Drosophila melanogaster: one gene and its partner. The gene in region 2 interacts genetically with the main gene of each other region. Each region holds a gene or a part of one and is shown on either strand. Other genes may lie near its edges.

Region 1 (5,026 bases), on a different chromosome or scaffold from region 2:
TGCTGTTGGTGTTGCTGGTGTAGCTGTTGAAAGTAGGGCGGTGGTGGACCGTAATGTTGCTGCTGCTGCTGTTGATGTTGCTGATAGAGTTGCTGCTGCTGCTGCTGCTGCTGCTGTTGGTGTTGCTGCTGCGGCGAGGGCGTCGATATGGCAATTGTGGGCGCGGTTAGGAGCTCAATTTTGGAGGCTTTTCCTAGCTATCGCAGCTGACAATTTTGCGCGTATTGCCAACTTGAATTGTATTTTAACTTGCAGCACAAAGAACCACACGCGCGTTTTGCAACACTATTCGCTCGGAAATATTCACAAATGTTACATATAATTTTTTTTTAATTTTCGCTTCAGATTTACACTTGTTTTTTGCTTTTATTTATTTTGTTGTAAAAGAAACCACACTTTTTGCTTAATATATTTAATATTTATTTTACAGGCTTTGCTGAGATTTTTCACACACTTTTTGATCAAAAAAATTGAATTTGCTTCGTTTGGTTTGGTTGTCGTGGTTGGTTTGTTTTTTTTTTTTTTTTTACATAAATTTACACAAAATTATGAATAATATTTTACACAGTTGCACAGCTGTTGTTTTTGGGACTTAACAAAACTGAACTTTATTTATTTAATTACGTATGAGAATTGGTTAAAACTTGAATTTTTACAGATTTCTTGTTGAGAATTGTGGAATTTCCGTTTATTAATGTAGTTTATTAATTATAATTAGGATGAATTTTAATTTACACGACGTTTTAATGATGAAAATATACACAAACTGCAATGAGAAATTAAAGTGTAAACTGTGATTAGTAAACGCAGTAGTTTTTGGAAATAAATTGTTGAGAAATTATCGATTTCGAATCAAATAACTTTTTATATGATGCTAGTTTTTATTCCCAATTCAATACGACACTCGAACCACTGTACTTTTGTGCGATTAAAAACTTTGAGCTGGTCATGGTAAAGAAAAGATTCCGATAACACAGACAGCAGACAGGGCACATAATAATAATCAACAAAATAAAACGCACAAGGCACGCGTAAAAGCAAAACAATTTCTTCTAAAACTGAAAGACGACTAAGGCAAATATTAGCCATGATTTCCCCATTACGAAAACAATAACAAAGTAGATGCCGATAAGTGGTGAATTGCGGGGGGGGGGGGGGAGTGTGTGCGTTGCGTTTACGTTTGAGGAACAGGAGCCCCAAGAACAAGTCGCAGAAGCAGACTATCCATAGAAGAACAACGCAGCGCTGAATCATGCTCGAAAAATACGGAAAATATAATTTGGTTTCTTTGAAGACCGATTGGATTAATACTCTTAATAAATTACGATGCAGGCTAGTTTTATCAGTGACTATCAATACATAACTTTTCAGACTTTATCTATTCGTAAGTGCTTAGCAACCGTAACAAAAAGTTGGCACACGATAACAATGGCGTTTATGTTGCAGTTCCAAAAAGGTTTTAACGAAATTTTATAAATCACCATTAGGACCATTGCATTTCAACATTATGAAAATGATCTTTAGATCTGATTATTCAAATCCTGTTTTACTCTTTTAACATGAAATTCTATAATAGTTTGGGATTATAATAATATCCATTGTACAAAATATGGAATCCAATGAAAACAGAAACAAAATCCCTTTTTAAAATCTGGTTACATTGTAGATCGGCTTGTTTAACATCTAAGAATTTATACATATCTGGAAAACTTGTGAACAGAATTATTGTTATAGCGCCTCCCGCGGAAAGCACACGGAAAGACGTATAGCGGCTTGTTTAACATCTAAGAATTTATACATATCTGGAAAACTTGTGAACAGAATTATTGTTATAGCGCCTCCCGCGGAAAGCACACGGAAAGACGTATAGCGGGGGGTGGTGGGGCGGTCGAAAATGGAAAACATATAAAATTAACATACACACAGAGGAGCAAGAACAACAACAAGAACGATGCCGGCAGACGATGAGCGAATGCGACAGAACGAATGGCGAAGAAAACGAAACGAAGACGAAGGCGAAAGGCGGCCGCAAACATTTGAGGTTACGTTTTCAGCGAAAAGAATGCGAGTGGGTCGGTCTTTTATTTTATTATTTTTTTTTTTGTTTTTGGGTTGTTTACGAGAATTATATCTCCATTTCTCCCTTTCGGTCCTTTCGTGCCTCCCAAGAAGCCCCCCAAAAAAGGAGAGACAAGTGCAGCATGCGAAAAGGAAGAGAGAGAACGCGAATGCTGTGCCCCTGGAAGCTCGCACACACCCACACTTCTAGGGGAGGGGGGTATATATAAAAACAAACATAAAGATAAACCATAAAAGAGATGGCGGACAAAACAAAGGAGGTGCGGCCAATAAGTAATTAGGAATTAAAACCATTTGAATTGTTTAATATTTTAGTTGGTAGTTAGGCGTTCTTATTGGGAAAAGCACATATATACAATTGCAAGGCGTCCCGAGAGAGAGAAAGAGCGAGAGAGCACACACACACACGTAAGAGGGAGCTGAATGGTTTGGCGGGGGGACGCGGGGAGAAGGAAGAAGCAGAGCAGCCAAATGGCCACCGCTCAAAAGGAAGAACACGATGGTATAAGGAAATAATGAAACACACACATTCGCACACATACGCACAATCGGAAAAATTTGTTCACCAACCAAACAAAAAGAAAGGAATCATATAAATTATTCAGGCACACACTTAATTGATTTTTACCTTTTTCGGGCAAAATACGAATTAATTTCGCAAACTATTTATACATGTTTGCATATGTACAAAAAGCGGTCTGGAAATGCACACATACACTCATGCCGCCGAAATGGAAAAGGAAACCCGATGATGACAATGTAAAACGAAACAGGAGTACTTTACGGTTTTTAGCTGTTTTTTTTTGTTCATTTCCTTTTTTGAAACACTTACACATGCACTTAAAAAAGCCTTCTCGTTTGCATTTCCATTGATTTGATGGTGTGTGTGCTTTCGTTAAATACGAAATTTAGATTATTTAAATTACAATTATTTACACAGGATGATGAAGAAGAAATCGGCCAGGAATTTCTTCAACGTCGCCGCCGTCCGTCGCAGAACGATAATAAAAGCGAAATGCAAAGACACACTGGCCAAATACAACTACAACAAAGAGCTAGAGAGAGAGGAGAGAACAAGAACCCCCCAAAATGAGAGCAGTGTTGGCAAACGTGCGAAATCAACAGAGAGAACGAGTGAGCATGCCCACAGAGTGCGAGAGAGAGCAAGAGCGGGGGTGCGAGCGCAAAAGACCGACAATTTATTTTACTTTTATTAACATGCGCGCAAAATATTTATATAAATTGATTACACATTTTCTTGTTCTTTTATCATCACCCCCTTTTTTATATTCACCCTGGCAAATGAATTACGCTGCCCCAGCCAAATTGTTTATATATTATTTATCAATCGATTTTAGGGGCATGCCAAATTTGATCAGACGCCAGTCGCACACAAACACACACTTGAGCACACACATTCACAGACCAACACTCGCGCATACATACACACGCACCAGGGTGTTTGTTTTGTTTTTGTTTGCGGCTTTTTTTTTTATCAATTTGTGATCTTTTTTCGCAGCCGCAAATTTGATTGTGATTTACCGCCGATTGGAAATGTAAACAATGCTGTCGAACTATCAGCATAAGGCTGGCAGTTTTAAAATACTTTTCATATTTTATAGCTGTTGGGTACTCACACCTTAGCTTATTTGAAAAATTTACATATTACAAGCACGCCGTTCTAGGTCTGCTTCTTCTTACGCGCGAACATTTAGTGTGACCGCAGCTCGACCGTTCAAATATACCATTGCGAAGCGCACTGAGAAACACTCTCCAATAGTTCTAAGATACCAAAAATTTAGCATACTACTATATGTAAGTTATAATTTCATTTACTATCCCATTAGAGAAATTAATTGATTTTTATGTTCTATAATGCATTTAACTAGTTGCCCTAGTTTTAATGTTGTTAAAATAGCATTACAACAATTACCGTTTATAACTTCACTTTCTTCAGAGTGACCATATAATGTAAAGTACAGTGAACACTGTATATAAAGAATCAATACAACCATGGATTTACATATTTTTCCATCTGGTTTATATCAATAGATAATATATGTTAAATGATATATATAAAAACTAAATTACACAAAATTTTTTTAGGTATAGTAGGTTTATTTAAACTTGTATACGATTGAAATTTCTGCAATCAAATCAAATTTGTTGTTACAATAAAGTTCAGTTCTACTTCGGAACTTGAAATCTTCCCCAAATATGTTATTTATGTGTTATTTATTTGGTAATTTCAATCCAAGTTGAAATCGTTTTCCGAGCTATGTGTCGTCATTACAGTGCAGTGCAGTTGTAAACGGTTTGTCCGATTTCTCAGCAATAAATCGGAATATATATGTAGACAAAGTGTGTTGTTTTAGGAGGGGAAGGTTCTCTAAAGTCCAAGTAGGTCCTATCCATTTTTGTGTTTTCTTCTCTTACTTGCAGATTTTTTTTCGTTTTTTTTTTTTTGCTTTTACAACATTCTTTTTTTTTTGTGTTGATTTTTGGGGAGGGGTGTGTGGAAATGTTTATAAATTGTATGTTTTAGGCAGCTACCGATTCGGAATCGTTGTAGTTATCCGAAACATAACCGTCGTTGGCATCATTTTCGCCATCGGAGTTCCATTTGAGGCCATCTCCTTTGGTTGGTGTCCCATCCACGGCACGGTCCTCGTCGTTCGACTCCTTCTTGGAGTTGTGTTGGCCCTGATCGGCGGAATCAGCATCATCTGCATCGTCATCAATATTTTTCGCTGGGCGACTACGGGGCTTTGTTGTTTCCTCTTTGGACACCTTGCCAGCGGCAAGAGAGGGACGTCCACGTTTCTTCGGCGCCACTACCGTCTTCTCAGGCGAGCTGTGTTCCTCCTCCCCGGAGTTCTCATCGTCCTGATCGTCGTCATTGTCCTCGTGCTTCTCGACGGGTGCAGCATTGGCCTTTGGACGACCG
Region 2 (8,216 bases):
AAAAATTATGAACAAAATAGAAAAAGTTAAAAACTTTTTCCAAAAAAAAAAAATTCGAAATTCTTAAAATTATAGGGAACTATAAAAAATGTTTAACGCAACATTATAAGTGCATTAGATAGCTTAACAATTTTTCAACGTGTTATTTACGATTTAATGAATCTGTCTTAATTCTTTACTCTTTAATCAATACTCGGAAATTTCTTTGGCCTGGTCTTAAACACCGAGTATGTCATTGTGATCCTCCGCGGGATCCACTGGCTCTCGCTTAAGGTTGTCCAGCGAAAAATCATCCGCAGCAATAGTGGCTGCTGTCTCCGAGGATTCAATTTTATTTCTCTGCACCGTCTGACTGGCCTGCTGAAGAAGGTCCTGAAAGGAGGTTTTGGTATTAGCCACCACCAAGCTGCGCTTCAGCGCCGAGGTAGGCGAACTTTCTTCGCCGTTTACAGAGGCCGTTGCAGCGGGCTTGGGCTGGGCAAAGTCATTGAAGGCAGATCCTTGCACACTGGCAATCTGCGGAGTTTTCTGAAGCAGGGAGGCACCGCCAGTGGGTGAGATTTGCTTTTGGTAAGCAGGAACGCAGCCCACAGACTTCCTCACTAGTAAACTGCTGCCTTGCGATGCAGTGGTCATTTGACTAGCACCTACGGCAGAATACCGAGGGCGTTGGGTAGGTGGCACCATTCCATGCCCAGCTGCTATCAATCGCCGCTTAAGCATAGACGCTTCCATAGCGCTAGCATTGGAGTTTATGGTGCTGCCATTGGCGGAACCTTGGCTAGCGTTTTGGGCATTGGGTGGATTGCTGCTACCGCACACGGAATACCTCCTGGACATGGCGCGGATATTCTCGGAGGCAGCTCCCTTGGCCGTCGTCGGTCCATTGCCTTGTCCAAAGAAACTGTTGATCAATGAACCCTGCGGCCTTATAGCAGCCACTACAGCAGCTCCTTTGGGACTGCCTGTTGGGGCGTGGTTGGCCACCTTGACCACACTATGGTTACTGTCAACACTATCCTTGCGCAAAATTTCCTGAGTGGCACTCAAGTTGCCATTCGGTTTACCACCCATAGCCGCTAACCTGAACAACCTCTTATCTAGTCCACCCGCCGGGCTGGTGGGGGCGATCTCTTGTCCAGTGCCTGGCTTGTATACCCTCTGAATGACTTGGCGTGTCATATTTGTTCGGGGTCCTCGCTGTACCTCAGGAGCAATTCCACTGCGGGAAGCTGTAGCTATAGCTGTAGCTTCTCCTGGCGGTCTAATTAGGGTAACCTTAGCCGCGCTCACCATGCTGACTAGCTCCCTGACCAATCGAAGTTCCGGATCTGTAATGTGCTCAAATCCTGAAGGAGTGTTTATATTAAAATGCTGCAGTTCTTTAGACGTTGGGAAATCGGTAGCATCATCAAAGGTTTCCATCAGCGCTTGGAATACTTTCTTCTTAAAGTGCATCTTCTGACGGGGGTTCATTTCCTGCATCTGGGGCTTGATCATTTCGAGAAAGTAATTATCGGAGAAAGGATTCTGGACTCCGGTTTGAGTGCCTCGCTCAGTCATTTTCAATTGGGTTATACTCTTTCCGACCGGAACGGATGTTCCAGCTGTGGTGGTTGTGGGTATATTAGTTATCACCGCACCAGAGGCACCAGTGGTGGCCTTGCTGCTGCTGCTGGTGCTAGATGAATTCGGACTGTAGCTTATTACATTAACGTTTTCAGTAGTTTTGATGCTGTTGTTACTGGTACCTTTGGTAATGGTATTAGTAGTAGCGGTGCTGCTGCTTATGCTAGTAACGACGTTGCTTTTGATAGCAATATTATTTATGTTACCACTCGCGACGGAGCTGGTGGGCTTGCCAATGGTCAGGACTTTGGTGTTTATGGGCGACTGTGGCTTGGTCTGCGTTTCCGGCGCAACTATTCGCTGCACCATAGGTAGCTTCTTGGGCGGCCTACCCACGGACCTCCTTTGTGGTGGACCAGATCCCTGCGGGTTAGCGATCGCTTCATCGGTCGTCGGAAAGATCAGCGTCTTCTGCTGTTGTTGAGTCTTGAGTTGGTTTTGATTTATATTCACAACTCCAGATGGCACCGCAGGTCTCGGGAAGATGTCATCCCGATGACTGATTTTCGTGATCTGGACTGGCCCGGATGGCGGCTTGTTGATCGGCTGAGACCTGGGGACTGGAGTCATTTTCACAGGCGATGTGGAGCTCCTTACACTGTGTACAGCCGCTAAACTCATAGATTTCCTGCGCTGCAATCGCGTCATTCGTTGTGCTTGGCCTGGTTTCTGGATCGGTAAATCCCTTATGCCAGCGAAACTTATTGATGCACGGGCTGCGCGACGTGGACGTCGGGTTGGAGAAGTAGTGTCGCTGCCTGTGACGCGTTTTTCACCATCCCTACCATATTCATCGCCACTATCTTCCATAGCCGTTTCCAGAGGATCCCCGGAAATAGATTTTGAAGCCTTGGATTCAGCAAACGAAGACGTCGAATTCTTTCTGCCAATAATTAGCAAACGAGGATCTCTGGTTTGCTTGACAAAGAACTCCGGCTGGCTAACAGTTGAGTCGGTGTTATTCTTCTCTAGAGACTTCTCCGGCGTTAACTCCTTTTCCTGATTCGATTGTTCCAAGTCAAAATCGAAACCTTCCAGATCTTCTAGGTGCTCCTCGTCCATGCACTCGTCGTCTTCATTATCAGACTGCAGAAAACTATCGAGTTCAGGAACCTTCTCTGGTTCGTCCGATTCCTCCAAATCATTCAGCTTCTCTTCAGCACTTTTCTTCCTAGATCGCTGTTTATCTCCAGGATTTTCCCAATTTTCTCTCTTGTCTTGGGACGATTTTTCCTTACGAACTTGACTTGCCAGCTTGACCTCCTTAACTAACTTGCTTGTCGATGATGCGCGTTCTTTTAATGACGCCTGAGCATGATGATCCACGCCCTCGCTGTCTCTATTGTTATCCCTGTCCTTGTCCGATGATACGCTGCGGTCATCGTCGGCAGCCATGTCGTCAGCTATGTTTAGATGGCGGTCCAAAAAGCGCAGCTCATCGGCCAGCGGATAAGCCAAACGACGCTGGCCATTTCGTCGCCGGTTGGCGTCGGCGTTGCACCAGCGGGTATAGTCATTTCGCAGCTGACGCCAGCGTCGCTTGCATTTTTCCACTGCAAGAGGGAACAAGAGGGAAATGATAAGGCTAGGTAAGAAGATATGATACGTAATATATATCAGGCAACAGGTAGCGGCCCAACCTTTACTTCTCAATAGCATAACACCCCCTGATTGCCCGGAAAATTCCACTTTAATCTTAGCTCATAAAACTTTGTGTGCATTTTACATGAACAGGTAATAAGAGCTCAGGAATGCTTATTAATAATGGGAAGAGACACTAGTTAAATTATTTTTAATTTCAAAAAACCAACATTGTACATGGTTCCGTAAATGCAAGTTTCGCTTGAAAGTATGCTATGTATGAATATCTAAATGAGTATAAATGAGTATTCGGTGGCGAGTACATGCACTGCAGTTTATATATAATTTTTTAGCTGCCTGAAGGTAGCAGTATTTAATAATTAAGCTATACATGTATGTAAATTTTTAAAAATAAAAATAAAAGCACTGCAGTGTGTAACTGCTAGTCACAAAATCGGGGCATCCAGTACGCACCGCGAACCCTGAATCACGGGTCCTACAACCCGGATGGCACATTACTTGTTTTTAATAAGAATACACTAGATCTTGGAAATATATATAAATTTTGGATTACATTTATTAAAATCGAAAAACTATATTTTCAATACCAACAGTCGGAAAATGATTAGCTAATTAATGGTCTTAATGGTCTAAATATGGTCTTCGGTATTAGATATTTCCATATTATTTTTTAATTGATCAAATTCGTATGGCTCTTTCCATTGGAGGAAGTGGCAAAATTGATTTGGAGTAATAGACAAGAAATTCTTAGCTTCTACGTGCCAAAACTGCTTCTTAGTTATCTGCCTTTATACTCGCCGATTAATATGGTTTGTAACAGTATGTAACTAACTACGCTGCGGAAGGTTATTTTCAATTACCGCGGCCAAAATCTGACAAAACTGACACATGAAATTTTGTGTTCGGTGCCATTTCAATTCTTGTCCTTGCATAAGGATAGTTCAAATAAAAATCGGGTCATAAAAAATAAGCTTTTTTCTAGCCAAACATAACAATTTTTTAAAGTGATAAAATAATATCAGCTATAACATATACAAGAAAAATTGTAGGAAATTACTTTATATTTTTAAGACAAAGCATTTTTGCAAAAAATTAATTTACAGTGCAATAAATCACCACAAAAACAAATAATAAGAGAATGAATAATGGAAGTGGGAAGCTTTATAATGCATATAGATATGGCATATAGATAGATATTGGGGAGTCAAATGAGAAAATTTTAAAAAAACTGTTCAAAAAGTCAATATAAATTTACAAAACTAATTAAAAATTATGAAAAAACAAACTTTCGCTGCGTCTAAGTCCCTTTAATCTATATGTTTAATTTGAACCTTTTTGTTTCTATAGTTCCTGAGATCGACCTTCATACCAGTTGCATACATACTTTGCAACGAATCCCTTCCAACGTATACCCTTTAAATCTACGAGTAAGGGGTATACAAATTAGAAGCGTCCATTTATCTGCATGACCATACATGACCATATATATTTATATAAATATATATATATGCAGATTTCCGACATACATACATGGGAACGTACATGGATGTACATATCATACATATTTATAAGGCGTGCAGGTTTCCGACGCCCAAACTTCTAAGATACGTTTTAATTTGTTAGTTAACAAAACCTGTAGACATTGCTGAAACACCCTTTATCTGATATCCAAACACATTACTTAAAAAATAGTTGTGTTAAGGAATCGTGTAAAGTTTAGTAAAAGGTGTCAGAAACCACGTGGAAATAATCGCAATCAAATTGAGAATCATACTTAAATATGTACATGCACGTGTGTATGTACATATGTACACTAAAAAGGATTTTTCTTTCTTTTGCGATATATAAATAAAACTTACAGCAAGAATTCTCGAATAAGAAGTCCCCCATCATTGGCAATATTTTTTCAGTTCTCAAATGAAAAAGAGCCAACTTATATTGTACTGCTCGAAAAGTTTGGCCAAAAGATCTTTCCAGGGAAATATATATGGGTCAATCGATATACACCGACAACAAAATCAGAGATGCATGGATAAATGGAACTACCCACTCATAATATACCAATATAATACAATATACCAATTTTCTAAGGTTAAATTTTACTCAGCTAATGGGCGATTAGTGTTACCAGTGTTACCAAAACGTGCAGAAGGATTCAAATCATTTAAAAAAAATTTATAAAGCTAATAAGAATTAAATGAAATGGATTTGGCTACTGAATAGACTAGATATTATTATTTGTCATATTTTGGTTTTTCTGTATTTAATTTATTTATTTTTAAATCCTTCTAAAATAATGTAATATTCAAATAAGACATTTTTTTAATATGAAATAACAAGCTTGTTGGAGAATTATAAATTATAAAATGTTAAATTAAAAAAATAATAATAACAACAAACGAAATAACTTTGTTTAGTTTTTACCATGCAATTATTGCAGTTGCCAAATAACTAATATAAATTACTTTCCAGCTATTTACAAAAATTATGTCACAGCAAGAAGCAATTTCATCCCAAACGACTACGCATTCAACAGGAGACTCGTTATATTCGAATTAATCGATGCCAGCTGCTTTGTGATGGCATACATGGCGCTGCCAACTCGCACACAACTATCGACGGCCGATAATTCGGGGACGACTGACTGTTGTGCGCGCGTTGACGCTGTGCAGCACTGGCAGAAAACTACGCAACGTCGATTGCTATCCCGCTCGCACTCACGACTCACCCGACTCTCCAACTTCGGAGGCAACCATGTCCCAGGCGTTCTCACTCGGCAGGCGCTTCCTATAGTTTTCGTCGGTACGATCATAAAGCGCAGTCTGCTTCTCCACTGACCGCAGCAACATCAGGTTCACCTCAGAGGCGGCGCTCATCGCTAGTTCACTTTGCAAGAATCCAATCGAGAGAGCTCGCTTCGCCAGGAATTTATCGGTTTTGTGTTATGCTACAAACGCAAACGCAATTCACACAATCACAACACACGCGCGCAGCAGCTGAGACTAAAAACGGCGACCGACTGCAGCGAAAACTAAAAGCGAGTATTGAGCACACACACACAGCCAAGTGAGAGTGTGAGCAGAGAGCGGCGCCTTGCGTTGCAGGGAAAAGCGAGTTGGCAGGCCGAACGGTCGTTGACGAGGGTTGACCAAGGTGGCCCCGGATAAATTTATTTTTTACCTGTCGGGCTAGACTATAATATTTTTTTACGTTTATAAATAATGTTTTTTACGCGTTGTTCATAATTCTCAAAACCGCTCAACCTTGTTTTCCAGTTTCTCTAAGATTTGTTAGCATTTATCTTAAAATAAAATAACTTCATTTGACAGCCAATACAAATATGAAATATTTTATTTTGTACATTAATTTAACCAAAATCGTAATATTCTTGAATAATTTTTATAATTTACAACATTTAGGGGTGGTCATTAATTAATTGGTAAATGCGTTGGCAGCACCTCCAGCGATCAAATGGCACTGCCAACACCAACTGCTATACTATTGCATTAAGTCTGGCAGTGCTGTCTACTTTGAGTGAGTGTGCCTTTCATTGTATGTGTGAGATCCAGTGGCATGTCAATTCTCTCTCAGAGAGGGTTGTATGCTGCTCGAATGGTAACCCCCGCTGATTTGCGAAGAGAATGACTACGCCTCTGGCTTTCCGTTTGTTGTGGCTCCTTTCTTTATTTATTTTGCCGGTGTTTTATATTCTCCGCCCGTTAAAGATTCAAATGTCCAATTCGAATCAGTCTAGTGCTCATGTGCTTTAAAATCAAGAACAATTGCTATTTGAAATTGCAACATTCATTTACAACTGCATCACTTGTTGGCAGCAGCACGAAATCGCAGTGTTCAAAGTTGCTAAACACTTGTAATAGCAGCAACTCCGGCGTCCACGCCAACAACTGCCGCGTGCACGGAAGCAACGAGCGGCTTGAGCCCGAACTTAATAAGCCAAAACTCGTGATAAAAGCACTGACATCGATTAATTGGAGCATTTTTAAACCTAATTCACGTAAGTTTAAACGAAAGATCTGGTTTCAGAGAAAATAACTGTTGTTGAAAGCGGAGCAGAGAAGCAAAGTAGCGGCAAACAGCTGTTGCACGGTCAGGCGACACATGTTTCAGATTCGATTTCGGGTCTTCTACTTTAACTCTATTAATTATATTAATTAATTAAATTTGCATATTTAGTTTTTATATATGAAATGAATACACGCCGTCGGTCCATAGCTCCACCACCGAACGTTTACGCCATCAATGCCAAAATATGTCATTTGGTGAAACTACATCCTTGTCTTTACGATCGTCACGATGACAACTACTTGCGGAAATCGACTGTGAAAAATGCGTGGAAGGAAATATCCAATGAGATGCGAAATTCGGGTGGGTTTTTATCTATATTTCGACATATTGCATATTAACTAAATTTACTTTAATTATTAAATTTACATTTCATTAGGAGATGTTTATATTTTTATAAGCACGATTTTACTATGTCGATACATAATATAAAATAAAATATAATCTCTTATAAAATCTTACAATTTATATTATATAAATATTATATAATATTATCTTACAATCTTATTGACTGCTATTGATCATTTCAGTTAAAAGCTGCAAGGAACGTTGGCGCAACATTCGCTCCAGCTATGCCCGCTCAATAAAGTTGCATCACGGTGCGAATACGTACTATCTTAACAGCGAGCTGAAGTTCCTGCAAAAGCACATCACTCCCGGAGTGCCCGTTCCGCTCAGAGGTCGTAGGTCAAGACCCAAGGGACAGGAGGAGCACGACGAAGGGGATCCCGAAACTCCCGTAGAGGCAATCCTCGAGATGGTGCACTCCCCGAGCTTTCTGAATTCGGAGCATGCGCAGAGCCGTCACAGCACCGACCCTGCATCGGCGACGGACGTTGAGGTGGGAGCAATACTCAGATGCATTTTGCTGAGGCCTTAAATTATTACAACCTTGTTTAGCG

What was found.
Region 1: of stwl (region 2) and pum, changing one suppresses a phenotype caused by changing the other (phenotypic suppression), as found in Drosophila melanogaster (one study listed by BioGRID).

The regions. Positions count from the first base shown.
Region 1 is NT_033777.3:9,233,899-9,238,924, forward strand, and holds the start of pum (pumilio), read right to left. Parts: upstream 3,128-5,026; 5' UTR 2,912-3,127; intron 767-2,911; 5' UTR 1-766. Other genes in the region: D1 chromosomal protein, read right to left, coding at 4,621-5,026. UniProt on the Drosophila melanogaster protein: Sequence-specific RNA-binding protein that acts as a post-transcriptional repressor by binding the 3'-UTR of mRNA targets.
Region 2 is NT_037436.4:14,403,656-14,411,871, forward strand, and holds the start of stwl (stonewall), read right to left. Parts: upstream 6,285-8,216; 5' UTR 6,108-6,284; coding exon 5,960-6,107; intron 5,192-5,959; exon of another isoform or gene 5,125-5,191; coding exon of another isoform or gene 5,091-5,124; intron 3,183-5,090; coding exon 217-3,182; 3' UTR 1-216. Other genes in the region: CG3919 (uncharacterized protein), read left to right, coding at 7,440-7,617, 7,845-8,155.